7 linked regions of the Xenopus tropicalis genome follow. The protein of the gene in region 7 purifies or fractionates together with the protein of the main gene of each other region. This does not show direct contact. Links are inferred from orthologs where the notes say so. Each region holds a gene or a part of one and is shown on either strand. Other genes may lie near its edges.

The links.
Region 1: the proteins of sin3a (region 7) and nr0b2 purify together in Homo sapiens (affinity purification with western blotting; 3 studies listed by BioGRID). This does not show direct contact. The link is inferred for Xenopus tropicalis from reciprocal best matches to the Homo sapiens genes SIN3A and NR0B2.
Region 2: the proteins of sin3a (region 7) and brms1l purify together in Homo sapiens (affinity purification with mass spectrometry; 3 studies listed by BioGRID, with this or other methods). This does not show direct contact. The link is inferred for Xenopus tropicalis from reciprocal best matches to the Homo sapiens genes SIN3A and BRMS1L.
Region 3: the proteins of sin3a (region 7) and smarcb1 purify together in Homo sapiens (affinity purification with western blotting; 3 studies listed by BioGRID, with this or other methods). This does not show direct contact. The link is inferred for Xenopus tropicalis from reciprocal best matches to the Homo sapiens genes SIN3A and SMARCB1.
Region 4: the proteins of sin3a (region 7) and ogt purify together in Homo sapiens (affinity purification with western blotting; 4 studies listed by BioGRID, with this or other methods). This does not show direct contact. The link is inferred for Xenopus tropicalis from reciprocal best matches to the Homo sapiens genes SIN3A and OGT.
Region 5: the proteins of sin3a (region 7) and hdac4 purify together in Homo sapiens (affinity purification with western blotting; 3 studies listed by BioGRID and IntAct, with this or other methods). This does not show direct contact. The link is inferred for Xenopus tropicalis from reciprocal best matches to the Homo sapiens genes SIN3A and HDAC4.
Region 6: the proteins of sin3a (region 7) and chd4 purify together in Homo sapiens (affinity purification with mass spectrometry; 3 studies listed by BioGRID, with this or other methods). This does not show direct contact. The link is inferred for Xenopus tropicalis from reciprocal best matches to the Homo sapiens genes SIN3A and CHD4.

The regions. Positions count from the first base shown.
Region 1 is NC_030681.2:89,464,528-89,469,413, forward strand, and holds the start of nr0b2 (nuclear receptor subfamily 0 group B member 2), read right to left. Parts: upstream 3,142-4,886; 5' UTR 2,117-3,141; coding exon 1,519-2,116; intron 1-1,518. UniProt on the Homo sapiens protein: Transcriptional regulator that acts as a negative regulator of receptor-dependent signaling pathways. Specifically inhibits transactivation of the nuclear receptor with which it interacts.
Region 2 is NC_030684.2:108,271,584-108,275,887, reverse strand, and holds part of brms1l (breast cancer metastasis-suppressor 1-like protein), read right to left. Parts: intron 2,188-4,304; coding exon 2,097-2,187; intron 1,385-2,096; coding exon 1,257-1,384; intron 1,049-1,256; coding exon 969-1,048; intron 1-968. UniProt on the Homo sapiens protein: Involved in the histone deacetylase (HDAC1)-dependent transcriptional repression activity. When overexpressed in lung cancer cell line that lacks p53/TP53 expression, inhibits cell growth.
Region 3 is NC_030677.2:153,167,703-153,172,764, forward strand, and holds the start of smarcb1 (SWI/SNF-related matrix-associated actin-dependent regulator of chromatin subfamily B member 1), read right to left. Parts: upstream 3,376-5,062; 5' UTR 3,374-3,375; coding exon 3,284-3,373; intron 2,679-3,283; coding exon 2,558-2,678; intron 1,444-2,557; coding exon 1,314-1,443; intron 1-1,313.
Region 4 is NC_030684.2:44,060,843-44,064,780, forward strand, and holds part of ogt (UDP-N-acetylglucosamine--peptide N-acetylglucosaminyltransferase 110 kDa subunit), read right to left. Parts: intron 3,132-3,938; coding exon 3,015-3,131; intron 2,603-3,014; coding exon 2,435-2,602; intron 2,083-2,434; coding exon 1,930-2,082; intron 1,474-1,929; coding exon 1,221-1,473; intron 1-1,220. UniProt on the Homo sapiens protein: Catalyzes the transfer of a single N-acetylglucosamine from UDP-GlcNAc to a serine or threonine residue in cytoplasmic and nuclear proteins resulting in their modification with a beta-linked N-acetylglucosamine (O-GlcNAc).
Region 5 is NC_030685.2:60,783,665-60,787,968, forward strand, and holds part of hdac4 (histone deacetylase 4), read right to left. Parts: intron 4,246-4,304; coding exon 4,136-4,245; intron 3,994-4,135; coding exon 3,877-3,993; intron 1,266-3,876; coding exon 1,085-1,265; intron 1,005-1,084; coding exon 781-1,004; intron 1-780. UniProt on the Homo sapiens protein: Responsible for the deacetylation of lysine residues on the N-terminal part of the core histones (H2A, H2B, H3 and H4).
Region 6 is NC_030683.2:10,064,724-10,068,318, forward strand, and holds the end of chd4 (chromodomain-helicase-DNA-binding protein 4), read right to left. Parts: coding exon 3,547-3,595; intron 3,371-3,546; coding exon 3,229-3,370; intron 3,142-3,228; coding exon 3,094-3,141; intron 3,003-3,093; coding exon 2,871-3,002; intron 2,544-2,870; coding exon 2,435-2,543; intron 2,252-2,434; coding exon 2,119-2,251; intron 2,026-2,118; coding exon 1,830-2,025; intron 1,651-1,829; coding exon 1,487-1,650; intron 1,399-1,486; coding exon of another isoform or gene 1,396-1,398; coding exon 1,381-1,395; 3' UTR 811-1,380; downstream 1-810. UniProt on the Homo sapiens protein: ATP-dependent chromatin-remodeling factor that binds and distorts nucleosomal DNA. Acts as a component of the histone deacetylase NuRD complex which participates in the remodeling of chromatin.
Region 7 is NC_030679.2:93,410,805-93,415,108, reverse strand, and holds part of sin3a (paired amphipathic helix protein Sin3a), read right to left. Parts: intron 4,162-4,304; coding exon 3,923-4,161; intron 3,329-3,922; coding exon 3,145-3,328; intron 2,010-3,144; coding exon 1,427-2,009; intron 774-1,426; coding exon 604-773; intron 1-603. UniProt on the Homo sapiens protein: Acts as a transcriptional repressor. Corepressor for REST. Interacts with MXI1 to repress MYC responsive genes and antagonize MYC oncogenic activities. Also interacts with MXD1-MAX heterodimers to repress transcription by tethering SIN3A to DNA.

The sequences.
Region 1 (4,886 bases), on a different chromosome or scaffold from region 7:
AAAAAAGGTCAATACAAGCCTAAGAATGATTAGCTCTGAAATGGGAACTATTACAAAAATGAAAATTTAATTTGTGTTTTATGTCATGGAAGTAAGAAACTTTCGAAAGATAATCAATAATGACACCGACTGCTAAGAGGAGGATAATGAAGTGTAATTTGATTATTTCAGAAATAGGTACAGAATTTTAAATTGATTATTCTTAGAATATTTATTATTTCCATGAGATGAAGCTTAACTACATTTTGAGTATGTGAAAGTTCCCCTATTACTAGTTACTTATAGTTATATCCAGTAGCTTGACCGAACCATTGAAAGATTGAACCTAAAGCCAGTTCGACATCCTATTATATATATTCAGTAGAGGCTACTCCTTTAGCTTAGAGCAGCGGTTCTCAACCTGTGGGTCGGGACCCCTTTGGGGGTCGAACGACCTTTTCACAGGGGTCGCCTAAGACATTCGGAAAACACATATTTCCAATGGTCTTAGGAATAATTTTATAGTCACCACAACATGAGGAACTGTATTAAAGGGTTGCGGCATTAGGAAGGTTGAGAACCACTGGTTTAGAGGAATTTTCATTTGAATTTTAAGCAGCGTAGGTTGTTCTTTAAGGTGAGGGCAGTGAGGTTGTGAAATGTCCTGCCAGGTGATGTTGTGATGGCAGATTCTGTTACTGCCTTGGGGCTTGGATGATTTTCCACATTAGCTTAATATCAAAGTTTATTTTGATACTATAAATCTAGAATTAGTATAGATATTGTTATATATTGTTTATATATGTGAGTGTATATATAGGTCTGTATAAGTATGTGTTCACTTAAAACACTTCAAATTTGGTTATAAATCGCAGTATATTTAACCACCAGGCACTGGTGATAGAGGTGAGAATAATGGAGGCCAAAACTAAAAGATAAGTCATTTTTTAAAAATATATATTTCTCACTCTTTAAGCGTTTAAAAGAAAATTTCTGAAGTGAGCAAGGGTTACCATGGACAGGGGCAGAAGTGAGCCCAAAAAAACAGATGCACAAGACATAGACTTTCTGAACATCTCTTTAAAGGGGTGGTTCACCTTTTAGTTAACTTTTAGTATGTTATAGAATGGCCAATTCTAAGCAACTTTTCAATTGCCCTTTATTTTTTCTTTGTTTATCTTATTCTTCTGAATATTTCCAGCTTTCAAATGGGTGTCCCAGACCCCATCTAAAAAACGAATGCTCTTTAAGGCTACAAATTTATTGTTATTGCTACATTTTATCACTAACCTTTCTATTCAGACCCTCACCTACTGTATTTGTATTCCAGTCTTTCATTCAAATAAGTGCAGGGTTGCTAGGGTAATTTGGGCCCTGGCAACCAGACTGCTGAAATGGCAAACTGGAAAGCTGCAAAATAAGAAGCCAAATAACTCCAAAAAACCACAAACAATAAAAAATAAAGACCAATTTCAAATTGTTTTAGAATATCACTCTCTACATCATACTAAAAGTAAATTTAAATGTGAACCATCTTACCTGGGTTGAACAGAAGCATCCCTTTGAGGTAAGCATATTCCTTTGTGCTGATGTCTAAGTTCCAGAGTTTGTATAGAAACCGCTGAATTCTTTGAACTTCTATTGCTGGAACTCCTCTATCAGATCTCAGTGCAATGTCACTGACATTCGCATACTGATTTAGAAGAATTTTCTTTAATAAACTGGGAACAGAATGTTCTTGTAGTTCAAAATTCACCCTTTCCTGGGCAAGACCTAAAACAAAAAGTGGAGCCCAGCAGTTCTGTACAAGAAGAATCTGATCCTCCTGGGGCAGCTGATAGAAGGATGGTACATTTCTAATGAATGCCACAGTTTTTAGTAGTACTTCTGATGCTGTCTTGCAAGTCACCTCAGGGTTCTTCAGAGACACTCTTCTGTTGCCTTCACAAGGGCATTCTCTAGCCAAGGAGCAGATGTGACTGCGGTTGTCATTTGGGCTCTTAGTCTCTGAATGAATCCCTTTGTTAAGCATCTGAAAAAGAATACTGTTAACTGGATCTCTGTTACAGTGACATTTTCCTAACTTTTCAGATATGCAAGCCATTTCCGTGTTGCATACACTGGGGGATAAACACATGAGCCGATATACAGTGCCTCACACATAAAGAAAAGCAGTAGTTCTGCCAAACTAGTAGGTGATTGGATCTTTTATATACTCAGCAAGTTGAACAGTAATGTGACTGCGTGTGCTAAAATTCCCTTGAACTTTATTCCTACTAGACTGTTTTCATTCACAACTGAGCAAGGCGTGGTTTAGCCCACAGTATCTAAAGGAGCTGGAATTATCTGAATGAGGGAGCTGGTTACTGATAGGAACTGAACAATGAGTAAAGTGTTGTTTACCGTTCCCTGTCACTGTGATATGGTGGAAAGCAGTGCCATGATATCAAGGACACTTACCAAGCTGCCAACTGTGATACATTTACAGTGGCAATTCTATGTTTTTAGCTTGTCCTTGAAAAATCACAATATAAAATTTAATTTGACACGATAAAGCCATTTATCAGCTTTTTTTTTAAAACAGCACAGAATGACTTTATTTGAAGGGTGCATTCACTTACCTAGATGCAGTGTGCAAAGTGCACCGCCATATTTGTTTCCCACAGTGCGCAAACAGCGATTCTCTTGATGCAGTTGTGCTGTGCCTATTGGTTCAGAGCACTGAAGAATCCTGAAGCTAATGCCTTGTCAGGAGGTGGCAGTAGCTCCAGGGTTCCCCTGCGTCAATAGGCACAGCAGCGCCTTCTAGGTAGGAATCAGGCGGGGGCAAGAATTGACAGACAAGTGCAGGAGGGGGCAGGGAATGCGTCATAGTGTAGGGATGACGTGTAGGGATGACACGTGGTCGGGAAGGGTACGTTTGCTACTCTGTGCTGTGCCCTTCTAACGATTTTTGTTTTGCAGGGGGCCTAGCACAGAGTACTTACACCACTAGATTTAAAAATGCTTTTCTTCCTGAAGCTTGCAATATCAGCATGATTACACACTCCTACATGCATTGATACTGTAGCCTCAGAAACTAAAAATAACCTCTTCAGTCCATTCTTATCAGGTTGTTTAATACTTGTTAACCCTTTCACTGCCAGCCGTTTTTGACAAAGTGGAACTTCTACTGCCATACAGTTTTTGAACATTTTGCACTGTTTCACTTTAGGGGCCTTTCCTCGGGAAAACAATATATTGTTTTTTTCAGGATGGCTAAAATATGGTAGAATTTTTGTGTAATTCCGATTCTGTAACAAGATATAGGCTTCTAAATGTCTAAAAAATGAAAAAAAAATATTTTCCATAATATAAACACATACACCAGAAACAAAAAGTATTTTATGCATGAAAATACAACTGATTTGGAAAGTCCCATGTCTCCTGAACGTGCCAATACCAAATATATATAGTTTTATGGAGATTTCTCAGTTGTATACTGTAGGTCAAAAACTCCCAGCAGTACACTACCAAATTTCCAAAGCACTGCTCCAGAAAGCTGAATACTTTTTAGTATTTAAGGCCAAAATTCCACTAACAGAAGGTTTATCCCAGAAAACTATACATTTTTAGAAAGAACAGATTCTGGGGAATCCAGAATAGGCACAACTGTCTGTCTACTCCAAACTACCAAGTTGCAATGCTTTCCTAAAGTTATTGTTTTTACAGTTTGATGTCCAATATGTATAGGTTTACCTAAGTATTTGGCATGTAGGGGCCCCAATGGGAACATACCCCCATATGATCAATCATTTGTCATTTCAGCTTCTGCAAAATCAACACTTACATCATTATATGTGGGATAAAGCTAGTAAAAAGTACATTCACCCCAGAAAATCATATATTTTTGGAAAGTACACATTCCCCCGAATCTAAAATGGGTACCCGTGTCTTCTACTCTAAAGTACCAAGCCGCAAAGCTTTCCTAAAGTTGGAAATTTTGAAAAAGCCACTCAAAGCTTCCAGTTTCCAGCATCTTATCTCCCACTTATCATTAGGTACCAAGAGGGGTCCAGGGGTCCACTGAACAGTTTGATGCCCAATATGTATAGGTTTACCTAAGTATGTGGCATATAGGGGCCCCAATGTGAACATACCCCCATATGATCTATCATTTCAGCTTCTGCAAAATCAACACATTTACATCATTATATGTGGGATAACGCTAGTAAAACATATGCTCACCCCAGAAAGTCATATATTTTTGGAAAGTACACTTTCCCCCGAATCTAAAATGGGTACCCATGTCTTTCTACTCCAAAGTACCAAGCCGCGAAGCTTTCCTAAGTTTGACGATTTTTATGGCATTTCCAAAAATCACCTCAAGTGATTTTCCCTCAAATAGGAACACCATAGGTCTACTGAACAGTTTGATGCCCAATATGCATAGATATACCAAAGTCTGTGGTGTGTACTGACCCCAAAAAGAAAATAGTGCATAAGGATTTCTCGCCAACTCAGCTTTTGCACACAGAGCCCCCTGACAGCATATTATGTGCCGTATCACCCCCTAACTATACAGAGACCCCCAGAAAACCTTATATTTTTGGAAAGTACACATTCTGACAAATCTAACATGAGTAAAGAGTCCTTTCTACACCAAAGTACCAATCTGCAAAGCTTTCCTAAAGTTAGTGGTTTTATGACATTTGAGAAAATCGCATAAAAATGTTGCAGTTTGCTGCATTTATCTCACACAATTTCTTGCATACAAAGGCAATTCACCCCAAATAGGAACACCTAAGGTCAACTGAACAGTTTGATGCCCAATATGCATAGATATACCAAAGTCTGTGGTGTGTACTGAACCCAAAATTAAAATAGCGCATATGGATTTCTCGCCTGCCAACTCAGCTTTTGCACAC
Region 2 (4,304 bases), on a different chromosome or scaffold from region 7:
TTGATGCATAGTTTATTATTTACCAAGTGTTTTTGTTTTTTTAGCAAAAACGTGCAGATTTTTTTTTTTTTTTTGCTGGCTGAGCATTTAGTTCTACTGCAGTATAAATGTAACAATCTAAATCTCATGATGCCATAGAGAAGTCTAATACAGTTCTGCATCATGGCTATATTTTGTTTTGCTTAACTAAATTGAGTAGAACACAGATTTCATATTTTCCTGGAATGGGCAATATTTTTCCTGGTCACACACAGGCAAACTGCGCTTTCTCCTTTCTGAATTTTATGTTTTCCTCAGAATTTACATTGTTTTGAAGTAGTCCACTGGGAAATGTAAAATTCAGTTATACTGTAAATGCAATACAAAGTATTAAAAAAAGCAATCCCTAAAGGTGACTGCACATGGTGGCACCAAGAGTGATGGCATATGTGATATTTTGTCACCAGTGCTAAATAACCTCAGCATGTACTGAAGTCAATTTGAATCCCTGCTGGTAAAACATTTGAATCATGTGAAAATACAATGGCAATCGATTTAAATGCATTACTGCCAGTGATTCAGATTAAATACAATGCCATAAAAGGCAGCTTAACTGTAAAGGTGTCACAAGTGGGCATATCTGGAGATTGTTCTGCAACTTTAAAATGGCACCTAAAATACTCCCTAATGTAAAGGAAGTTAAACAGGCATTGGGCTTATTAAACATTTAAAAAACATTCTTTTGTTGGTTCTTGATATACAATTTTGAAGGAATGTGAAGTTAATATAAATGGATAAACGTTTTATAACCAGGCACCGCAGCAATAGCTTCTCTGGGAATGCAAAACATTTACATGGCCCTGATGGCAAAGGCCTCCAAACTCAACATGGAAAGCAAACTTGTAAGCCCACAGAAACTCACTATGTTCCAAGAAAGTATTTCTGCTGCAAAATGTTAATTACATACATTTTATCTAAAGAATGTGTACCTCACAGTGTTGGCGTGCTGCTTGAATTTCACAGTCATGTTTGTTCTTCACAGACTCTAGGCACAGCTCACGATATATTCCTTAAAAAAAAGGAAACATTTTATCTTGCATTGTTATACATAGATATCCACTTAGAGTTCTTTAAAAAAAAAAAAAATAATATGCAGAAATAACACATACAAAATCACGCGCACACACACACACACGAGAAACACCACCACACAGGAGTACCAGCCATTTTGATCATAGTCAGCTCCTCTTGCCCTCACCAATGATGAGTTTTCATACCTGCCACTTTAGTTCTGATCTGCATGTTTTCCTGTAAATTTGCAAGGGGTTCCAGATATTCTGGTGCTTTGCCTGCTATTACCTCCTGCAGTTTGGCATCCACTTGGCTCAACCTCTCCTTGTAAAGTCTAGAAATAACAATAACAAGCGAAGGTCAATTCGCTAATAGTACATGTGACAGTACATAAGCTGCATAATGCTGTGCCTTAGAACAAATAGTTTCAATCTGGACTGGGATCCAAAATAGGCCCTGGCATTTCAAGTACACAAAGGGTCAAACAATCCCCCCCCCCCCCCCCACCAAACATTCACTATTTATGGTATCTTACAAGCAGCCCCTCTGGCATTTGCCAGAATCCAAAGCGTACCAGTCAGGACATGCTTTCAATTTTGTCTCCTTACCAAATTCTAAGGGGCACATTTACTAATCCATGAATCTGAATGGGAAAAAAAATCGGATTGGAAACTAAAATGTTGCGACTTTTTCGTTGCTGTTTTTTCGTTTTTTCGTATAGATATCAAAATAGCACTCAAGAGTAAAAAATCCAAGTCCAGCTTGGGACTCCTCCAGTTACATGGGAGTAGGAGAAACAATGGGTTATCTGAAAGCAGTTCTAACATGTAGCACTGGCTCCTTCCGAAAGCTCAGAATCAGGCACAATGACTGACATGACTGCGGACAGACCAATATCAGTAAGTTGCTGGACTTTGCATTTGTAAAGAAGACCAAACAGATACAAAGACAGTTTTATATTAAATCACTGAGTAGGAGGAGGTTCTCTTTATGGCATTTATACCGCAATATCCATCCTGTGACAACTGCCACAAGTGCCTACTTACTGATCTTTGAGATCTGTAAACTGTTTTTCAAGGTTAGACATTTCGTCCAAACATTCCATTCTGCGTCTTTCACAGTCTTCATCATCCATCTCTGCAAGATAAGAATTAAAGGACTAGGAAAGTCAAAATCTATTAAGCACACGATTAAATAGTACTACTATTGCTGTGTAAAAACACTATATTTCTGGCTTGCCCAATGAAACATTTACAGAGATACACATACTAGAACCTACATACTTGTTTCAGTGAACGGCGCCGCCATCTTGTCCAGCATGTCACAGAGTGTCCCCCCCCACCCCACAGCATGTCACAGTGTCCTCCGCTCCGTTCACCGCTCACCTGCCACAAACCCCCCCCATAGCATGTCAGAGATCATCCTCCGCCGGCAGCACCCCCCCCCCCCCCCCGCTCGCAGCTTGGCGGCTACTCGCATCTGCCATACAACGCTGCACTGTCAGGAAGAGATATACTCACCCACCCCCATTCCCCGCCGCTCCCCGCTCCTGCCACAAACCCTCCGCCGCTCCCCGCACTCGCACCCCCGCTCCCCCCACCTGCATGTCAGAGTTCTCTGTCGCTGCGTCGCCATGGCAACCAGACGCTCCTGCTGTGTGCGCATGCGCCGCCTAAGGTAACAAGTCGCCAAGTCTGGGAAGGAGCGATGCATTATGAGAATCTTCTCTACCCTGCTCAGCGTTTTTTTTTCCTGTTTGGCTTCTGATCTTCTGAACAGGTGAAGTATGGGGAGACTTAAGGGCACTATTGAGACAACTGAAGGTATGCCTGCAGCTTGAGATTAACACTTTATTAGCCTTTCCTTCTCCTTTAAACAAGAATGGTCAAAGCACTATATCCAAAGTAGTCTAATGATCTAATACTGTAGAGCAGTGCTGTCCAACTGGCGGCACGCGACCCCCCTCTGTGTGGCCCCACACCTGTTTGTGTCACTGTATGCTGCCTGTGTGTGCCATACACACAGGCAGCATAGGGCAGGTAGAGTATGGCACACACAGGCAGGGTAGGGCAGGCAGAGTATGGCACACACAGGCAGGGTAGGGCAGGCAGAGTATGGCACACAGGCAGCATAGGGCAGGCAGAGTATGGTACACAGGCAGGGTAGGGAAGGCAGAGTATGGCACACACAGGCAGGGTAGGGCAGGCAGAGTATGGCACACACAGGCAAGGTAGGGCAGGCAGAGTATGGCACACACAGGCAAGGTAGGGCAGGCAGAGTATGGCACACACAGGCAAGGTAGGGCAGGCAGAGTATGGCACACACAGGCAAGGTAGGGCAGGCAGAGTATGGCATACACAGGCAGGGTAGGGAAGGCAGAGTATGGCAGGTTTTTGCTGTGCTATCACCGTTAATATGGCTATGGCCATGCAATAACATAGGTGTGGTTTCAAGTGGGTGTGGTTTTAAAAAGGGGACTGGTCAAAACTGGCTTCCATTATCGGCCCTCCACCATGTAGGCCGGAAAAATTATGGCCCTTGGTACCACAAAAGTTGGACAGCACTGCTGTAGAGAATTGGCTACACAACAAAAATAAATATACTTTTAAAAGTACCATCACAAGCAAGAGAATGTTATCAAATATTCACCATGGTAGAAGTTGCTTTAAAGGGGCAGTATATCTCCTTGGTTCAATGTGAGTACAATAATTTTGGCTTGTGACAAAGATATTTTTTCCTATTGTTTTAGTTACAGAAAAATCTATGATTTTGTTTTTTCTTGAGTTAAACAGGCAAACAGAGAGATTGAGCCTACTCCATGTTTGGTCTTTGTGAAGTAGATAATTAGATTACCACCATATAATCCTCTCCATTCACCACTATACCTGTTTTGTTAGCAGGAGTCCATTATGCAAGGGGGGGGGGGGGGGAGGGGATTATATGTGCACTGGAAATCTAAATGATCTCCCTTGCTAGGACCAACCATAGAGTAGCTTCAATTTCCCCATTTGCCTTGTTTAGCTCAAGGAATTACAAAATATGTAGACGCTTGTGATTAAAACAATAGGCAAAAAGTATGTTTGGCATAAGCCCCATTCAAAGAACTCATGTTGAACAAAGGGGTACACCTCCCCATTTAAAGAAGAACAATGCCTTTTATATAAACATATGTAATTTTCCCAATTAGACAGCAACATTTTGAGCCCTTTTATTATGTTCACAGAATATTTTCCTCTAGAGAGTAAATGGAAATA
Region 3 (5,062 bases), on a different chromosome or scaffold from region 7:
TTTTCTCCTTTTTTCAATTTAAATGGCTGCCCCCATAGCTACACAGCAGGGTATTTAAATAACTGCAGTAGTATTTATGAAGAAAATACACAACTTTTACCAGTGCAGAGCAATAGTATATAATATATGAATTATTTTTACACACTTTAATTTTTTTGTGTTACTGTTCCTTTAAATTTAATGGCTGCCGAGCATGGACAGCCTGCTTCAAATCATCCCATAGATTTTCAATGATATTCAAGTCGGGGGACTGTGACGGCCATTCCATAATATGGAATAAATGCCTTTGTAGATTTCCAACTGTGTTTAGGGTCATTGTCTTGTTGGAATATCAACTTTGTGAATGATGTTTGAACATTATCCTGAAGAATTTGTTGTTATTGGGATGAATTCATCTGACCCTTGACTGTAACAAGGGCCCCAGTCGCTGAACTAGCCACACAGCCCCACAGCATGATGGAACCTCCACCAAATTTGACAGTGTTCTTTTTGTTATGACCAAATAATTTTTGTCTCATCAGTCCAAAGCATTTTGTTCCAAAATGACTGTGACTTGTCTAAATGAGCTTTTGCATACAACAAGTGACTGTTTTTGGCATGAGTGCAGAAAGGGCTTCTTTCTCATCACCCTGCCATACAGATGTATGAATTGTATAACGATGTACAGATTCACCATCTACAGCAAGATGTTCTTGCAGGTCTTTGGAGGTGATCTTTGGGTTGTCTGTTACCATTCTCCCAAGCCTCTGCATATGCCACTCCTGTATTCTTCTTGGCCTGCCAGATCTGGGTTTTACAGCAACTGTGCCTGTGGCCTTCCATTTCCTGATTACATTCCTTTCAGTTGAAACTGACAGTTTAAACCTCTGAGATGGCTTTCTGTAGCCTTTCCCTAAACCACACTGTCACTCTTCAGAGGAGACTCTAACAGAAGCACAACTTGCAATTGGCCACCTTAAATACCTTTTCTCATGATTGGACACACCTGCCTATGAAGTTCAAGGCTTAACGAGCTAACCGATTTGGTGTTGCCAGTAATAAGTATTGAGCAGTTACATGCATTCAAATTAGCAAAATTACAAGGGTACCCAAATTTTTGCACAGCCAGTGCATGATTTAATTTCATACAACTAAATACTGCTTCACTAAAAATCTTTGTTCAGATTACACCCCAGTACTCAGATGTTCCTAGGAAATGAAAGACATACCACTGTTATCTTTTTTGTTAAAAGTGGAGTAAACTATTATGCAGGCTGAGAGGGGTTCCCAAATGTTTCATATGACTAAAAACCTCAAATGTGTGCCTCACTCACCTGAGGTAGGTTGGTGGTTCTGTGCTAATAGAGACTGCTTTATATTTCTCATCATTCCCATCAAGGATCTCTTCAACTTCTGAAGCTTTTAAGAGAGTAACACTGGTAGCTAAAGTGGTATATCCATGATCTAAGGAGGAAGAAAACAGCAATATGTAAAAGGTTTAAAAACTTTATACTTAAAGTAGTTCGGTTACATTAAAACAAGAAATTATGAATGTGGCAAACTAAGGGAGGTCATCTTAAAATTATAGTAGAAACAATGTTAATTGCCAAAAGCTGGTTGAAAATAGCTTAGATTAGGTATTCTTAGACAATCTGAAATGGTTTACATTTTTGTGAATTTTGAATTCTGTAAAGCTGTCCTAGCATGGCCAGCTTTGGTTGGCAGATCTGGACCCTTCAGCCCAACTGTCTGAGCATGCATGACAGGTTGGGGTGGGTTTCAACAGACCATTGTGCAACAGAACAGGATGTGTCCAGCTGGCACATCCCACCAGATGAAACCAGCCTGGACCTATCCGAGTTATGTTCTCAATACTAGATGTACAAGGTCTGAGGTATAGGTTAAAAGTTGTAAATTGAAAGCACGTCGCAACTAAAAGAATCTGTAGAAGGGCAAATGAGGTAGTTGATATTTTTGTTGTAAAATATATGTTGAATAGATGGTATTTATAATGTGGCCACCTAGGTATTTGAGCCTGTGATGATTCCAGGAAAAAATCCTGGAGATATCAAATATATGTTTCCCCACAATGGTAGCCGGGGAATAATAGTGGTGGGGGATGGCCCAGTAATTTAAGGTAGAGAGGGTATTTGCAGTTGCGGGGCATCCTTGGAGTCGGTAGTGAAAGCTATGCAGGTGCTTGTAGATTGTAAGCTCTTTTGGGCAGGGCCCTCTTCACCTCTTGTATCGGTTACTGATTGCTTTATATGTTACTCTTTATGTCCAATGTATGTAACCCACTTATTGTACAGCGCTGAGGAATATGTTGGCACTTTATAAATAAATGTTAATGTAATGTAATGTGTTCCACAGAGGCCAGAAATATCCCACGGAAGCAAGTATTTGGGTTATAAGGTTCTAGAACAAAGCACCATTGGAGATAGTAGACTTGCAAATCCAGATAGTACAGGTAAAAATTCGGAAATCCCAGGGCTGCCATAGACAACTGGTGCATTCAACTTAATCCAAGCTGTTCTTTCACCAGACAAACCAGGTAAAAAAAACTACTAATATTTACATTTCTTTCCATGAGAAGACGCTACTATTTTCTTCCTCTCTTCTACTGTTGCCAACCGTCTCCAAAGGGAAGGGTACCGTTTATATAATGATCCCCTGAACATGCGCAAGTAATTTCCCACCTGTAAATAAAAGACAAAGTATTTAAGAGTCAAAACAATAATACGTTTTCAGGCTGCAAAATTTGGTCACAGACCCAAATATAATGTGTACACCTTGAAGTGACAGCATACAATGAGGCGCTACACAACACAGCAGGCCTCCAGAAAGGAGGATTTAGGGGAAAGGTAGGAGTTGCAGCCTATTTCTATTACAGATGTTTTGTTTACCTCATGCTTTCTGTTGCTGCACTTCTAACCAGTCAGCTGCACTTTCAAATTCATCCCCCATTGGCCACCTCTCCCTTCACCAGTGCGTTCAACTTGTAGGTCTAGCTGCTTTAAAACTACTAGCACTTCCTTCATTCTGGGAGTGATGAGAGCTGTAGTGAAACAAGGGCCCGCCGGTTGGATATACCACTCTTTTTTATCTAACTAATAACCCGCCCCCCTTTTGTTATTGTTTTGGTTTTTTTCTTTTACACGCATGAAGATTTACAGAAACCTTGGTCTCGCCCACAACAGTGCCTGTAACAAAGAAGGAATCCTTTGTCCCAAACCCCTTTCTCCCCCACGTTTGTATTACGCAGCTTCAGCGGAGATGTTTAACGTTTGCCCTGGACTCGTACCTCGGATCCTATCATGTAGTATTCTCCATCCTCTTCCAATTGAAATTTCACTGGCTTTTGGCCAAACGTTTTACTTAACGCCATGATCATCCTGCCTCCGTTCCAACACCGGGCCCACCGAACAGCGCATGTGCCAACTACGTAGTACACGAAGCGCAGGCGTCAAGGGAACTGCATAAAGCGCATGCGCGGCGTTTCAGCGCACAACTTATAGCTGCCTGCGGGCGTAGTTTGGTTGTACGCTGACTAAAGTAGCGGCTTCGTAAAATAGTTTTACTTAGTATTTTTATTAGTGCGGAAATACTAAAGATCAGCCAAGGGTTGCCACTTTTTCTAGAAAAAAAAATACCGGCCTTTTAATATTTTGGAACCCGAAACCCACAGTGGACATTAACGTTTAAAGGAACAGTAACACCAAAATATGAAAGTGTTTTAAAGTAATTAAAATGTAATGTACTGTTGCCCTGCACTGGTAAAACTGGTGTATTTGCTACAGAACGCTCCTATAGTTTATATAAATAAGCTGCTGTGTAGCCCCGGGGGCAGCCATTCAAGCTGGAAAAAAGGAGAAAAGGCACAGGTTACATAGCAGATAACAAACTGTGTAGAATACAATGGCATTTGATCTGTTATCTGCTAAGTAACCTGTGCCTTTTTTCATTCGAATGGCTACACAGCAGCTTTGCTTATATAAACTATAATAGTCTTTCTGAGGCAAACACACCAGTTATACCAGTGCAGGGTAACAGTGCATTATATTGTAATTACTTTAATACACTTTCATATTTTGATGTTACTGTTCCTTTAATGATATGTTTAGTATGCACGGCAGCTCATGTCTTGAGAGGGACCTTGGTGCAAAGTTTGCAACCATGCCCATGGGGTAGTAGTTACACCACTCAACAATAGGCCATTGGCAGCCCTCAAACCGAGTATGGACTGGATCGGCAGGGCCCTGGCCCTTGTAGGCTGTCCTGACCCAGTTTTGCTCCCTCCTATAACTAGGTGCTGGCCCACAGTCCTTTTATCACAGTTGTAAGGAGAAAATGCAGTAGGGGGACGGGGTTTGATGTCGCAACTGGGATGGAGGGTCCCCAGGTGGCAGTCCCATTGGGCCCCCGGCCGCCCCAGTCCAACCCTGCCCTAACAAGCAATTAAGGGCTATGAAATAGACCTGCTGCAACGTTCCCTCATTACTTTTTGGCTTTGTGTGCAAAAAACTTGTGTGCATACATTTTAAACTTGTGTGCACGTTTTTAAAAACTGCTCAGGTAAAAATAAATACAAAATTGTTGTGTGTGAGCGCACTGCTTATAGGGAACATTGTTCTGCAGAGATGCCAACTGACCTCAGGTTATAAGATAAGATAATGATCCAATCCTGGATATTTCATTTTACATAGTATTTTCAGCTGGCTGTGAAACACCTAAACCAGATGAGAAGCATGTAATTAATATTAATGGAAACATTAATTTGGATGAAATAGCCCAGGATCCTTTCAAGGATTTTGGCACTTCTCTGCTGGCTGAGAAAAGGCCGGCCACTAGCACAGCAATAAGTGAATGCCATAATTTTTCATGCACACATGCACAAACTAATATAGGTTTTATTTCTCCTGACCCAAATTCCTTGGCTTTAAAACTCTTTGTTCTACTTGCAAATTGATTATACAGTCTTGAAAGTAGGATAGGACATTTGTGTTTTCTATTTGCAGGATTAATTCTTTACAGTATACAAAACCAAGGTCCTTTAGCCATTCCTCAGATTTTACTTGCCGGT
Region 4 (3,938 bases), on a different chromosome or scaffold from region 7:
ATTCATACAGTCAATGAAAAGCTTTATGGTCACTCACGTGGGCTTTATTCTTATAGCAGAGAAGTCATTAATTATGACTGTTTGTGAATTGGGACATTTAAACTTGCTTTATTTTTTTTTTTATTCCCATTTAAATTTAGTGGGAGTCAGAGTCGGTTCATTTTTTGCCGACTCCGACTCCAGGTACCCAAAATTGCCTCCGACTCCACAGCCCTGGTTATTATACCTAGATTTAAAGCACAGCCCTTACTACAGATGAGGGATATAGTATTTTTCTATTTAATCTCACATACAGAGAGCTTTGGGCCCAGCTCTGGGTGCAGACCCAGGTGCATGCTGGGGGAACGTGCATGTTTAAAATAAAGTAAATGCCCCAGCTCATTTATTATGCATGTGATGGGGAGGGGGGGCATAACAAGTAAACTGGGGTGCATGTATGTGCCCCAACTTGGTCACCCCCACCGCAAGCTTCCTTCCGGTGTAGGAGTCAGAGCACCCATTCAAAAATCCTTTTGTTTCTGGAGCACATGCTCTGTTAACCTGCACCACTGGTGGGAAAAGAAAATATTTTAGGCAATAGATGCCCTTTCAGAGGAAAATACATTCTGTCTAATCTTTTCATTACTAATTTATTATTATAAAGCAACAGGTCACCTCTCGCGCAATAAACTGAGTTAGTTTAACATGAAATAATATAAACAGCCAAATCCTTTGCTGGCTTCCACACGGGCAGAATCCTATTATGCAGGGAGTATACAGTATACAGGCAATTGTAATCTAACAAGAACCAGGAGGAACTTAGAAACACAGTCATGTATAAGGCTAAAACTGAAATATAAAAACCATACAAGTTTCATAATTAAAATGGTCAATAAGCATGTATATATGAAGTTGGGTACCACAGAACTGCAGTATGCGTATGAATGCTGGTTGCAGCAGATACAATTTAACTGGCTTAACACCAACTGCATGTTTACTTCTTGAACTGAAGAAGCTGCTCGGATGAGTAGTGAAACGTCTTCAATGATTACCAAACAAGTCCAGTTGCTTCAAATTTATTTATACTAGATATACCATGACCTGGATGAATGAAAATCTTCATAGACTTCTTGAGACATATAACTAACAGCTACAATTAAATATCTGTCACACCAAAACTTAAATTACCTAAAACAATACTAATTTTTGTTGCATAAAGAAACTTTCTGCAGACTCTTTACCTGGCATGGTGACCATGGGTGTTCCTGCCCAGAGCACATCCATGCCAGTGGTGTGCCCATTGCAGAGAGGTGTATCTAAGCAAACATCAGCCAACTGTCCTCTGCGCACATGTTCTTCCTTAGGAGCAACTGGAGAGAAAATGATCCGGGACTGGGGAAGGCCCATATTCTGTGCGTACTGCTGGATATTTGGCTCCCCAACTGCTGGGAATCTTAATAGCCACAGAACACTGTTTGGGACACGCTTTAAAATCTAGGACAAACAAAAAGTTTCAAATGGAAGATGTTAAGCAGTGCATAAGGATAAGAAATAGTTGACTGTGTTTAGATAAAGTGTCACATGACATCCCTGTCACCATTTACTGAGAAAACATGATAATGATGTATCACTGTAAGGTATGGCAAGCTATCAGCAACACATCTAGATAGAATCTGCTCTTCCTGTATAGCAAGTTTGATCAAAATGTGATCCAACATAGTACATATATTTGGCATTAAGTAAATCCACAGGGTGTGGGTGTTGCTGACCCTTGTGGTCAAAAAACAATTGCTCTTTGAGGCTACATTTACCCGATACATACACTAGACAACCTACACACAAGGGTTTGGCCAAAAATGCTGTTATTTTCCCCTAGCTGTGCCTTTCACTAACCAAAAGGTATAAAACAGAACCTTAATTGATGGCAGTTGTATAACACAATATACTTACATTTGCCCACATCTGTAATGTGGAAGGGTCAATCTTGTAAAGCTGGTTAAAGTTGCAGTACACAACCGCATCCTCAGGGAGTCCATACTGTGAGCGTGTGGTGACAATGATGGTACGAGGCACTTCTTCACCTGTCGCCGCTTTGTTATTTATCTAAAATATTCAAATCACTTTGTTATGCCATCTTTTTCAACATTTTTTGCCTATTGTTTTAATTAGAAAATAATAAGTAAAGTAACTTCCGGTTCAACAAATCAGAACCCCACTCTGACAGCAGTCAGCCTCAGCCTTCACTGGGAACACTTTAACAATTAAATGAACACCAATAGTCCAAGTTGTAAACACACGGAGTGGTGTTCATAATCAGAATAAGCTATACAATGACTCAAATTCCAGGCTTGCTTCTTTTTGAAGCAGATCCACACTTATAGGTAAGAACATTATACTTATACTATATATTTAGCCATCATTTATATTACATTCCACATCACTTTGTTAAATTTACCTGGGTTGTTGCAAGACCATTGCTGATGTTGAATCCATTTATTGTTATCTGAATTTGCCCCCGATTTATCATTTCAATCACAGCTTCTGCTATGCTGCTCATAGGAATCACTGGCATGTTTAGTGCAGAGTTATTGTCAACATTATCTCCGCTGTCTGGGCCTTTCATCTTTTGGAAGGGGGGAAAAAAATTTTTTTTTAAGAAAGCAAGGAGGCAAAGAAAACAACTATACCTCAAAAATAGCAATATCCTATACTATGGGCAGCTAAATGTCAAACTTTTGAATTAGGGTCATATTATAAACATTCTAGTTTATACAATCTCTTGGTACCCACAACTACTGTTTTTATGCCATACCTGACCACTACCTCCCCCGCTATCATAATATGGCTATATTCACTTAAAAGGCAAGGTAAGGACATAATCAATAGAAGGCAATACAGACCTTACAGAACATTTCACACATCAGGATTTACATTTGGACTTCCTCAACATGGTAAAGTACATTAAATGCAATTAAAATAGTTTTTCCATAAAAGCAAAGAATGGTGCTTGATAAAAATCTAAAGTTAACTCTCACCTTTACAATTTTCACATCAGGTAAAGATTCCAGGAAAGCTTTCAGATCAATTCCATTGAGTACGATTCTATTGTCATAAATATGGCCATTGGATTTAAAGTCTATGACAGCTTTTTTCTGGGGAAACAAGATTTAGTTTAGTTGATTAAAGACTGTTTGTAAAGTATGGAAGGCATTTCTAAGAATACGACTACTACTAAAAAAATTAAAAAACGTTTTATTTTTTTAGTAGTAGTCGTATTCTTAGAAATGCCTTCCATACTTTACAAACAACTACTAAAAAAATAAAAAAGGAGATTTTGTGATACTCACCGTTAAATCTCTTTCTCCTCAATGGCTTGGGGGACACAGGGACAGTGGGTATAGCTCCACCTGCAGGAGGCAGGACACTAGGTAGGAATTAATAAAAAAAAGGAATGCTCCTCCCCTTCAGCTATACCCCACAGCGCAGCCCAGAGAGGCTCAGTTTTGTCTAACAAAGAGGTAACCAAAGTAACCATAAACAAACCGTTATAACAATGTAACATAAAAACATGGCAGATGGCGCAAAGAGGATTCCGCTTCCGGGGAGGGGAGCCCTGTGTCCCCCAAGCCATTGAGGAGAAAGAGATTTAACGGTGAGTATCACAAAATCTCCTTTTCTCACACAATAGCTTGGGGGACACAGGGACAGTGGGGACATACCAAAGCAGTCCCCTGAGCATAATGAGCGGTGGGCAGGAAGCGGAGTCGGAGTTAGACTGCCGCTGCTTGCAGCACCTTGCGTCCAAAGCGTGCGTCAGATGCAGCAAATGCGTCAAATTTGTAGAACTTAACGAAGGAATGGATGGAGGTCCACGTGGCAGCCTTGCACAGCTGCTCAGCTGAGGCCTGGTTTCTGAACGCCCAAGAGGTACTGACAGATCTGGTGGAATGGGCCCTGAT
Region 5 (4,304 bases), on a different chromosome or scaffold from region 7:
AATGGCCCTACCAATTTAAATTTTAATTACTCCTCTAGTAGTTAGGCAGGTTATATATAGGCATTATGGTTGAACTTGATGGACGTATGTCTTTTTTCAACCCAACTTACTATGTTACTATGTTACTATGAGGTTAAAAAATGGAAACTACGTTTGCAGAGCCAGGCTCAAAGCAGGCACTTGACTACCATAAAATGCATTTATCCATAAAAGAGAGACACACACTTTTTTTAAGCACCTCAACAACATGCAACTTAGTTTTTATTTTAATAACCCAACCCATTAAAAAAAATAGAGATAGAAGATAGAAGAATACAGTGAATGTGGTGTACTACATGTAAACACAGCTGCTAAAATTACACTGAAAACTCTAATGAGCAGAGCACGCATTACCTCCCACTGTTTCAGTCAGTATGTGTATGTAATTAGTATGTTTGATGTATATACCCTTCTGCTGTACAGTGATACTTGATAACAATTATAATGATATGAAGTCCCAACAGAATGCCTGTGGTTTTTGTTGACTTCATGGAAATGAGTCATAAGTGACCTAAGTGGAGTGATGCAGTAATTCAACCCACACAGACAATACCAGGCATTAAGTGCAACAGAACAAGCGGCAACTGATAAGATAATGGTCCATATATAACATCAACAACAAAGTCATATGATAATGATTTGATGGAGTGTGCTATGTGAAATGACTATTACATTATACGGATCTAAATTCTCCCTGATGCTGAATATCTGATATAAATATAAGGAATATAAGGAACACACCTTGTTTAGGTGAAGCTGCTGCTGCTGGAATTGCTGTTTGTGCTTCTCCAGGAATTGCTGGTGCTGTTGTTGGATGACCAGGTGTTGCAGGGCATGTGAATTCTGTGGGAGTGGAGCAGATTGAGTACGACCTAAAGGACGGTGCTGACGTAACTTGTGCATGGTAGGGGATACACGATCAGGTGACACAAGAGACTGGGAGTGAAGTGGTAGGGTCCCCAAACCTAAAAGAAATAACACCATTCAATATCAGTCAGTACTAAACAGTTAAAATACGCACAGTTTTAGGCCTCCTATGCTTTACCTGATATCAATGAACTCTGCGCACCAGGCTGTTCTAGTAGTACCATATGCTGTAAGAGCTGATTATGAGAGCTTGTGGCCTCAGGTCCAAGGTAAGAAGTGAGGTGAGCAGCTGGAAACAGGGAAAGCCGTTGTTGTAGAGCAGGCAGAGGAAGGCATTCGTTTTCCTGTCCTGATCCACCCTAAAAAGTGACATGGGTAGTTAAGAAAACATTTTTATTCCAAACTGTGATCCCATGGTAGGAAAAACACAGGTAACATAGCTACTAAGGGAGGTATGCTTTTCCATATTTAAAAGAAGGTTCACTCTAAAATGAACTTTACATTTTCATGCTCAGTTCTTCTTTAAATACCAATTAGTTTCAAACAAATTATATAAAAATAGTTGCGTATTCCCTAAAAATAATTTGGCAGATCACAATCTACCTACACTACAAGGCTTGATCAAAAATTAAAGACAACATTAACTGGGACAAATCCCTCCTGTTTCCCATAGACTACTTCCCCCTGCCAGACTTACCCCCTGAAATGGGTAACTTCCTTCAAGTACCTGGGCATTGTGATCCACCAGGACACTACCCAATATGCTCAATTGAACCTCCAACCAATTATCAGATCCATGACCGATGACTTCACACATTGCTCCAAACTCCCTCTCACTCTATGGGGCCTTATCAACATGTTCAAAATGATATACCTAGCCAAATTTCTATACACCCTTCTTAACTCACCCACGGTACTTCCCAAAAACTTCTTCAAGCAAATAAATAAAATTCTAATACCTTCCATATGGAACAATAAATCACCAAGAATGGCCTGGGGAAAGCTGACTGCCCCATACAGTGATGGAGGCTTAGCCCTCCCAAACCTGTACTTGTACTATTGTGCCTCGCAACTGTATTACCTACATTGGTACTTCCTCCCAGATCCACACAATCCAAATTGGCTTTTACAATCACTTCCTTTGGAATCCATAGCTGGGCTTCAAAACTTCCCATATCGCCACATAAACGGCATTGGCCCTCTGCTCCCCACACTTGTCAGCCCATACAAAGCATGGCAAATGGCTATTAAGCTCCTGGGCAACCCTCCGCCACTGCTCTTCCCTAAACTCCCCCTGTGGGGCTACTCGCACCTAGACTCTTTCAGACAACTCCAAAATTTCATTTTTTGGCCTCAAATAGGATTGAAATACCTTGGGGATCTTACCCTAGACACAAATTTCCCCACCTACCAAGACATCTCCCAAAAAATACACCCAACATCATAATCCACTCTACCAATATCTACAACTCAGGCACGCATTCAAGGCCCAATTTTCATCTCTCCAACCAGCAATCTGCATCACTCCACTAGAAGAGACCTTTCACTCACCAGACAACTCCAAAATGATCTTGAGGTTATACCAAACCATACTAAACTTAGTCCCGCAACCCTTTGCCCTTGCAAGGGACCAATGGACCCAGGTAATACCAGACATAACCCATGAGGACTGGGAGGAAGCAACAGAGAATTGCTACAACTTCTTAATATCCACCAGAGATAAACTCGTCCAGTATAAAATTCTACACCAAACCTACATTACCCCCATTTTACTCCTTAAAATTGGGAAAATGATGGATGATTCCTGTCCTAGGTGTGGACAAACAAATGCAAACTTCTTCCATATGATATGGGTATGTCCACCAATAGCCAACTCTTCAGGCAAAACATTATGCCATCATGCAAATGATTTTGAGTTCCCTCACATAATGTCAACTAAAATTTGCCTTCTGGGTATCTATCTTAGATGATATCATTCCAACCAACTATGCTCGCAAGAGGTACTGGTCATTGCTACACTATGCTAAGAAAGATATTGCGATGCACTGGGTGGGAGCTACCTCACCTAGTGTCCTCTCATGGCAACAACTAGTCAATAAGGCGATACCACTTATAAAGCTTACCTCAGGGGTCAGGGCTCCCCAGAACAAATTTAAATGTATCTGGTCACCATGGTTGTACTCAGGATGCTATTTTTCTCTGTACCACTTTGTACTTGCTATAACCTGCACTTAAACTATACTTATTCCAATGATTGTACATTTTATAGACCTGGAACCTATACGTATATCAATGTTTTGTTTTTGTATTATAAAACAATAAAAAAAATTGACCTTTAAAAAAAAAAAAATTAAAGACAACATTAGTTGAGGGCCACCATCAAAAATTATATAGTCAGCATAGAACTAAATAGGCTCAAAGGAATTAGGTCATACATGTATTTTCAAATCACCAGGCTGATATGGAGTAAACTGTCATGCACATACCCACAGTTATTTTAATTGAAAATTAAAGTTCTATTCTAAGTAAGACTATTTTTTTTAATTTAGTGGTGGATACAACTGTCTGTAGAGGACAATACACTGTTTGCAATTTTTTGTGATTTAAATTATTTAGATTCTCCAGTCTGGAAATTCAACAGCTAGCTGGTTGCTTGGGTAGGTACAGTTTATCATACTAGGCAGATGTTTGAATGAGAACCTACAAGACCCTAGTAAGGAGGCAGTGGTTTAAATGAGAGCCTGGAAGGTTAAAAAAATCAAATTAAATACAACAAATATTTTAAAAAAGTAAAAACAACAACAAAATTGTAGCCTCACCAAGCAATTATTCTCTGGCTACCAGGTTTAATATGATTTTTAAACTGTACTTTTGTCTTTTGTACATTTCATTTCCTCCCCATAGTAGACCAAGTCTCTACCCACCACTAATATTTGTTATTCCAGAATCCTTTGAGACAGGTGTACTTACATTGGTAGAACCACTAGCAGGCAGTCCTAGCGTAATATTGGGTAAAGAGGGTGATGTGTATAGAGGGAGCTGCGATACTGAGTTCTCCCTGTTCGCAAGTCTGTGAGCCAGTGAAGCCTGAAGTAAAATGTATAGATAAATTGAAAAAAACAAGAAGGAAACATATTGATAAAGAATATCAGAAACATAAAACAGAGAAACGGCAGTATATAATCAATATGTTATTTCACATCAAATAAAAGTGTTTTTCCCCAGTTACCTCTGTCTGGATTCCTAAAGGACCAGCTATGCCATTTTCTGAACTGATGTTACTTGAACTATTGTTTGGAGAGCTTGGACCAGAGCCTGGAGCACTGTTACATGCAGAATCTATACAGAAAAAAAAAAAAAAATTAGTATGTGCTCATTTTGCTAAATAAACAGGGCCT
Region 6 (3,595 bases), on a different chromosome or scaffold from region 7:
GGCCAGATCTCGATTGGGCAGGTCTGATTTTCCGTTGGATCGGGGACCACATCAGCTTGTTGATAGAGTCCTCTGTCCAATGGACCTTATACCCGCCATTTAAATGGCCAAATGATCAAATTGGCCCGATATCGCCCACCTTAAGACACCATCATTTACAGAGTCAATATACCAAATTGATCAAGTCCTTTTGGTTACATATGCTACACCTTGTATTATATATATTTATTTATTCCATTTGCATCTGTGGAATAGAATTAGCCGCTTGCAGACATTTTGACTTTGTGACCAGCACTCTTGCAACTTAATTAGTTTCCATTTGTGCCAGTTTCCCCTTTAAATGTTCATCCCACCCCCCCTTTCCCCCCGCAGGCCTTGCAGATTTCTTTTGGTTGGTGCTAGAGAGCAGGGCAGTGAAAGGGCCACGGTCAGCCACTAACAATATGTGCAAGTAAATCCACCATTTATTTACTCATACAAACTGGTTATCCCAAAACACTGCAACAAACTGTTGCTCAGAAATAAAATAACAGGAATATTAGGAGTTATAGGAAGCTCATATATGCAACAATTACTAGTAAAAAGAAACAGTTCTAAAACTGATAACTTACCTCTCTGGAAAATAGGTAATACCAGAGGTAACCCATTTCAAACCTCCAGAACAATGGATCTGTGTGTTTAAAACCACCTTGTTGCCAGTTGAGATGGTACAGCCCCCCCCCCCACTGGCAAACCTGGCACAAATCACACAGCCCTTAAGTGCTGCCCACGTGGCTGTCACCCCATCGTCAGAGAGCACAGCACAGTCTCTTTCAGAATAGTATTTTGTGTTTTATTATACGACAAAGCGTTCTGTATTAAAAAGAATGGAGGTAGGGTGCCTGTCCTTTTAGGTGACACCCCTTTGGGCCCCCAGGCAGTGTGTGGGGGGGGGGGGGGAGGGAGGGACTGGAGCAAATAAAATTAAAGACAAACAAAAAAAAAAAACCAAAAAAAAAAAAAAAAACCAAAGTATTTCCTTCTGAATTCAGGAAGCAACTTGCTCCTACGCACAGGGAGAGTTTCTGGCCTTTGGGGTGTTTGATGTGACCCTGAACCCTGCCCCCCAAGGAAGGGGTGGACCCCAATGCGAAGCAGCAGCACCAATATGATCTGCCTTTAGGCTTGTGCAGTCACAGTGACACCTTGCAGTTCCAGGATCCTCCTGTGACATGTATCCTTTGCTTATCATCCGGGGCTCGCTTTCAGCTCTGCTGAGTCTTTTCCCCAGGATATGATTTGGTGGCATGTCCAGTGCCTACACCCAGGTCTCTGCTTCTGGTTGGGAATGTTTGAGGTGGGGTAGATGCTCCGACCTCCTGACCAGAGGAGGGGTTTATGTTATTGCTGAGTTATCTGCTGGACAGAAAGAAAGGCAAGACCATTATTGTACAGTCAAGTGGTGAAAATAGGGTACAAGACCAATGACGCAGCACTGAGCATTTACCTGCTGGGGTTGAGGCTCGCCTCCTCTGCTTGCCAGCCGGCTCAGAATGTTCCTCTCTGACATCTGTAATCGCACGGCCACGGGAGGGATTCGGGCGATGGTGGCTGGGAGACGGGTGACATCTGCCTTCATGTCGCTTAGAAGTTCCTCCAACTGCTTCAAGACTAAGGAGAGACATCAAATGAAACAAATGCTGGAGTTTTTCTACCATTTTTGCCCAATGCAGGGCATAAATTTTTTTTTTTTATAGCAACTTATTTTATTGCTGGCCGGTAGTGTACGTGAGTAGCCTTAGACAAAGGGATATACAAAGTCAATAGAAAGAGAAAAAAGGCATCTGTACCTTTGTGTAGCACTGCATTTGCTGGTTTGTTCCCTGCCATTGACTCCTTGGAGAGGTGCTGGTGACTCTCTGCCAAGCACTCAACTTCAGCAAATCTTGTGTTCAGAGCCATAGATGGATGGGAGGGGTCCTCGGACATATTCAAGTATGCTGCTCGCCTGAGCTGCTCCTCTATTACAAGAGCCTGTTCCAAAAGCTATAGATAGAAAGGGTAGGGGGAGTTAGATTGATAGAACAGCTTAAGGGAGAGAATATAATAAAGCATTAAAGTAACTGATTTCTGACAAACCTTAAATCTACGAGCCAAAAATTTGTTCTTGATCTCCAAAAAGTTGCCCCTGTTCACCTCTCCCTTGAAGGGTTCATTGAGGATGGCATACCGCACGTCGTTCTGGATGTCCTGCCAGCGTGCATATCCATGGCTGTTGCGATGCTCAGGAAAAGTGTGGGCAGTGATATGAAAGTGCCAGACAGCTAAACATTCAAACATTATACCCAGCCCTCATTATATACAAGGCTGTATGTTGTCACAAAAAACTTAACCAGACACATCAATGGGCTGAAACACAAACTGTGTGCATAGCAACACCAGACCAAAAGGATACGTTATGATTCCTGACAACAGCCAATAGTCATGCCTTCTGTGCCAGATCTCATAGGTCTTCTTTGTAACTGTGGCTGCTCTCTCTTCGTTCTGCCACAAGGAGTGCAGTTCTGGAGGAAAACACCACATGAGTTTCCAGAGCTACATTACAATTCTCCTGCAAGATATAGCTTTGCCCCTTACATTACACTATTTAGTCATCCCAAAACAAAGATCTCCTTTGTCCCTTGTAATCTGAATATATTATATCTCAATCCCATTCTTCCCAGAGTTTATGTTTCCATTATATACTTATTGTACAGCGCTGTGGAATATGTTGGCGCTTTATATATAAATGTTAATAATAATATACTGAATGTGAATCCCTATTCATTACAGTCTGTACTAAAGAAACATCCAGTTTTTAGCAGCCCTGTGCCTTCCGCTGCCCACATTACCTGTAAAGCCACCATCTGCAATGTTGAACATGAACCTCTGTTTTGCAGCAGCAGCTGACGCTTTCTTGGTTTTCTCCTCAGCTGTCTCTTTGGGTGTCTCACCATTCTGAAGAGTGACTTCCTGTACATCATCTGTAAAACAGGCCATACATGAAAACCAAGGTTACACATGGACTGTAGAACCATTTACAAGTTAAGCATGGCTGCTTAGTACTTTACTCACCTTTCTTGTCATCCAAAGTGATCACCTCATCTACCTTCTCAGGCTCTGCTGTAATAAAAACAGGAAAAAGGAGTGTGAGCAGTGCTTCAGTATCGCAAAACTACCGCTTCAGGCAATAAAATGAAGGCCACTTACGTTTCTGGTCTGTTTCCATGGGCTCAGTAGCTGGTGGTGGTGGTGGCGGAGGTGGCGAGGTTTTCTCTTGTTTTACTGGTTCTTCTTTCTTCTCTTCCGTCTGAGCAGCTGGAGAGCGTGCTTCTTGGGCAGGCTGTGCTGACTGGAGAACAGAATATAAGTTTGGAGCTTATTAGTAAGAGAAAGGGAATCGGGAGCGCAATTTTGTACAAGGGAAGTGGAGTTGGAATATAGAAGTGTAGGGCCCAGATGATATATGACAGCATTAAGGTGAAATCACAAGGAATGGGGCTCTGCATGGGACAATAGTAACCTCACCTCATTATTCTCTTCAGTGGCCTTCACTTCAGCATCTGGTGTTTCTTCC
Region 7 (4,304 bases):
TGATGTAGTTATACATTGCCAGCCAGCCAGCTACAATGCCCAGGACAATACAATGTTATGTATGTACTAAAATGTACTTACCTCTAAAAAAGATACCTAAGTGTGTAAGCGCATATACAAATAAGTATTGAACTAATTTATGATGCAAGATGAGTGCTTTAGAAGGTTACTTCTCTAGATTCATAACTGGGCAGTAAATATGAAATCAGTTATTAACCATGATTCTTCAGGCTGGATCTGGAAAAAGTAGTTAGACCAGCAATGTGAAAATGCTCTGGAGCACAGTGGGAATCCTGGCTAAAGCCACAGCTGGGTGGCAAAGCCATAAGAGCCAACAAACCCATAGTACTAGCAACACGAGTGAAGAGTTCATCACAAAACGCTGCATTGTGGAGAAAGAACCCATGAAAGTGTATTTTCACACATGTGGTCAAACTACCTGTGATCTGTCTGGGGCATGAGACCCATTAATCACATCTTAAAGGAATAACAGTTCAAACCACTTTAGTGAATACCTATAGGTTCTTCCAAGAGATGCTAAATTGTTATAATAACACCATGCAATTGTTCAATGATAAACTAGTCAGGATATATCAAACTCACCTGTCTAACAATGCTCTGAATCAACTTATCCATAGTAAAGGCAATAAAGGCATGGATAGTAAACATCTCTCGCAGAGAATCTTCATACTGATTGGAGTCCATGTTCCCATCAAGCAAGTTCCGAACCATGTCTAGGAATGCTGGGTAATAATCCTCAGCCTCTATGTCCACTAAGGGAGGATAGAAAAAGTGTGCTTAACCACAAAACCCAATGTATCTTTTGTAAACAGGTTTTTTTAAATCTCTGGATACAGATTATATATTTCTCTTCCCCACTGGAGAGCACCAAGGAACCATAAGTTATAGACAGGTCCCCTTAAGGTTATGTACAGTGTGACTTGGCCACTGATCCACATAAAGGAAATGTTATGCTAGTCCATATCTCAACTGAAAGAAACATTTGCGAGTGTATCTGAATGCACAGTTTCTTCTATGGATGCTCACAGTGTGGCGTTGTGGTTTGCAGTGGCTCCAGGCAAAAGTACAGTGTGGTCATGCCACTGTCTGCGACAGTACTGTGTCCTCCACTTGAAGAGCAGGCTGTGTCAGTCCCACAGCTCAAGTATAGATAACATTTTTAAGGGGATACACGCCCTGTTTGTACAGTATTGTTGATGACAGTTTAAAGAATAAATCAACATAAAAGAAGTTGGAGGCGGATGGTAAAAGAGAAAACAACAGAGAGAGGGAAAGTAGTCAGGAGGCTATTACTGGTAGATACTTTGCATAGCTAATCATAATTCCAGATGCTCAGGAGAAAAAAATGCATGTTTTAAATTATATAAAAATATTCTACTTTATAGTAACATTTCTGTTTACTTACTTGGTTCTTTTAATCGCAGTTGGATAGCTGGGCTGTCATTTTTGTCCCTCTTCAGACCCAGTACCTCTCTTTCCCATTCCCTTTCTCTCATCTCTTCCTCCACTTGTTTTTCTGCCTGGTTGTAGATGCGAAGAAGTCGGGAGCATAGTATCTGATGTAGGCGAAGGAATATGTACCAGTTATTGTTCACATAAAAAAGGTTGTATGCATCCTCCACACCGCGCCACTTCTGTGCTGCTGTATTTCCAAACATCAGCTTAGCCTTTGGAGGACTACTACCCCCACCAACCCCCACTCCATTATGTTTTTTTGTAACCCCATCTTCAGTCTCAGCTGTTTCTTCCTCTTCTTCTTCCTCTACATCAGAGAGCTCTCCCCGCTGGGAAAAAAGTAAATCTGGGATGAAGTGATAGACAATCTGTTTTATCTTATATTTGTCCTCCTTTTGTATGCCAGTCTGTCGTTTTACATGGTGGATGATAAGTGAGGCTGCATCTTCCAGTATCTGTTTGTCATCATAAGTGAGTGTGAGGTGTGGGCCAGAAGAGATCCCAGAATTGTCTTCTGAAGCTTGTTCCTGCCGCTGAAGAAGAATTATAGCGAAGAACCAACTGTTAATTTGCTCAACAGAATACGATTACAGAATGGTTAAAAGAGCTGAACTGACTGCTAAAAAATTAAAAAGCTACAAACAGCTGCTATTGTGAAAAACAAAAAAAATCCATGAAATGTAGTGACAGAATGTCAATAATGTAATGTATCACACAGCTCAGTGCAAACTACTTTCTTGTTGTGTTGTTAGTGATAGCCTATGCAAAGTTTACTATATATATATAACTTCCATCTTGTTGTTTCTTTTTAAGACGTAATTTTACATTTTTAGAACATTTCAAGTTGTCAAACATACAATAAAGAAAATAAATTTGAACGATATAATTATAGCAAACCAAATTAAACATTAGAGGATCTTTGTGTGTTTTGAGTAAACCCCTGTATATAATACACATGTACAGAAGATGTGGAAAATGGAGAATTAGTAATTACTAAATTTTAGCTACATCTCCAAACAAGCAGACCAGATCTCATATGTTCCTTTTCTGGTTTAATAGTTTCTGCCAAAAAGGCAGGCTATCCAGAAACCATTCATGCTGCTTTTGGATTCTATATTAAACTAATTTTAAAGAAATTATATGGTAGCCCTACACCGAATGAATACTGCACCTCAAATAGACAATATAAAACGTATTGTACAGCGCGGCGGAATATGCTGGCACTTTATAAATAAATGTTAATAATAATACAAATAGCAGGCAGTGTCACACAGTAAACATTAACAAAGCTATTATAAAAAAAAAAAAAAAAATCAACCATACCAAAAGGACAGCAGTACTTTCCATTGCCTCAGAGCACCTTCCTCCAAACACCTTTTGCATCACTGGAACCTCATCATATGGACACTTCATCCTTTGATGAAGTGTCCAATGATACAATGTTTATCCATACATTCCAGAACTTCATTAATCAGATTTTAAAGAGCTATGTTGAAATAAACGGAGCCACATACATACAAGATTATTATGCAAGTCTCCCTCTTTTATGAAATGTGTATAAATGTTACTGGTATAAACAGTACACTATGGGGCATATTTATTATAGTGTGTAAGCCAACAATACCAGTGATGTTGCCAAGACCAACTAATCAGCATTTAGATGCTTACCTCGTCATATATGCTCTCAATCTCATTAAGGAGACTCTTGGAACGCAACACCTTTGTATCAATCTGTTTGTAATTGATGCCCTGATGATCTAGAGATTTAAGATAGTACTTTTCGTTTTGTTCCCGCCAGATCTTATTAAACCCACGTTGTGCTTCCCGCCACTCCTCCTCCTTCATTTTCAACCTTAAAGACAGGGTAGATAATGAAAGCTAAAATTTAACAGAGAAATTTCATAATTTTACATGCAAAACTCAGAAATAATTAAATAATGTATTTTCACTTTTTGGCTTATTTATATTATATTATATTATATATATTTCACCTCTAAATCTCATTGTAACTGGTCTTCTGGACAACCATAGGCTTATTTATCAACATTTGAGTTTGTTTTTTAAATCGAATAAACTTGCATATTAAAATAGAAAAATTCAAGTTTTGAAATATGGCTCACACTGACTTCTATAGAAACTCAGATGCCAAACTTTAAATTTAATACCAGACGTTCGGGTTTTTAAAACATAATTTGAATTTTTTTTTTTTTGAACCGCGAAAAGAAAATGAAACTTGAATATTGGTAAATCTCAACCTAACACTGCCTCTGATCCACCCAAATCCTGACATTTCCCGACAAATCCTGACATTTCAAAGCAGTTCAGGCTCCCCTGCTTGTCCTTACCAAAGTCCCCAAAGGCAGCTTAGCATTTTATTGCCCTTATATGATCCAACTCTGTTTAGCATTTTATTGACCTTTTGAAATCACATTTGCAAGGCACTTACCTCTTTAGAACAATGGGTACAGCGACAGCAGGGTTTTTCTTTAGACCATCTATTATATCGGCAGCTTTGTCTGCATATATCCTCTGCAGAGCCTTGCGGTGGATGACCTCAGATGTTCCTCCAAGTGTATTGTCCAGCCTGAATTTGGCCTGGTCCTCTGCAGAAAGCCGTGAAAGTTTCTTCTGGATAGTCTCCAGAACACGAATGGTAGCCAGGTTGGTTTCCAAAACCACATCCAACTGACAAAGGTAACAGAGAATTATATTTTGCTTTTAACTGGAAGGCAATGATAGGTACCAGTAAATGTTGTGTGGTAAAATTACATATAATTGTGTTTTTTTTTTGTGTGCATTCAAATACATAACTTTTTTAAGCCAAAAGT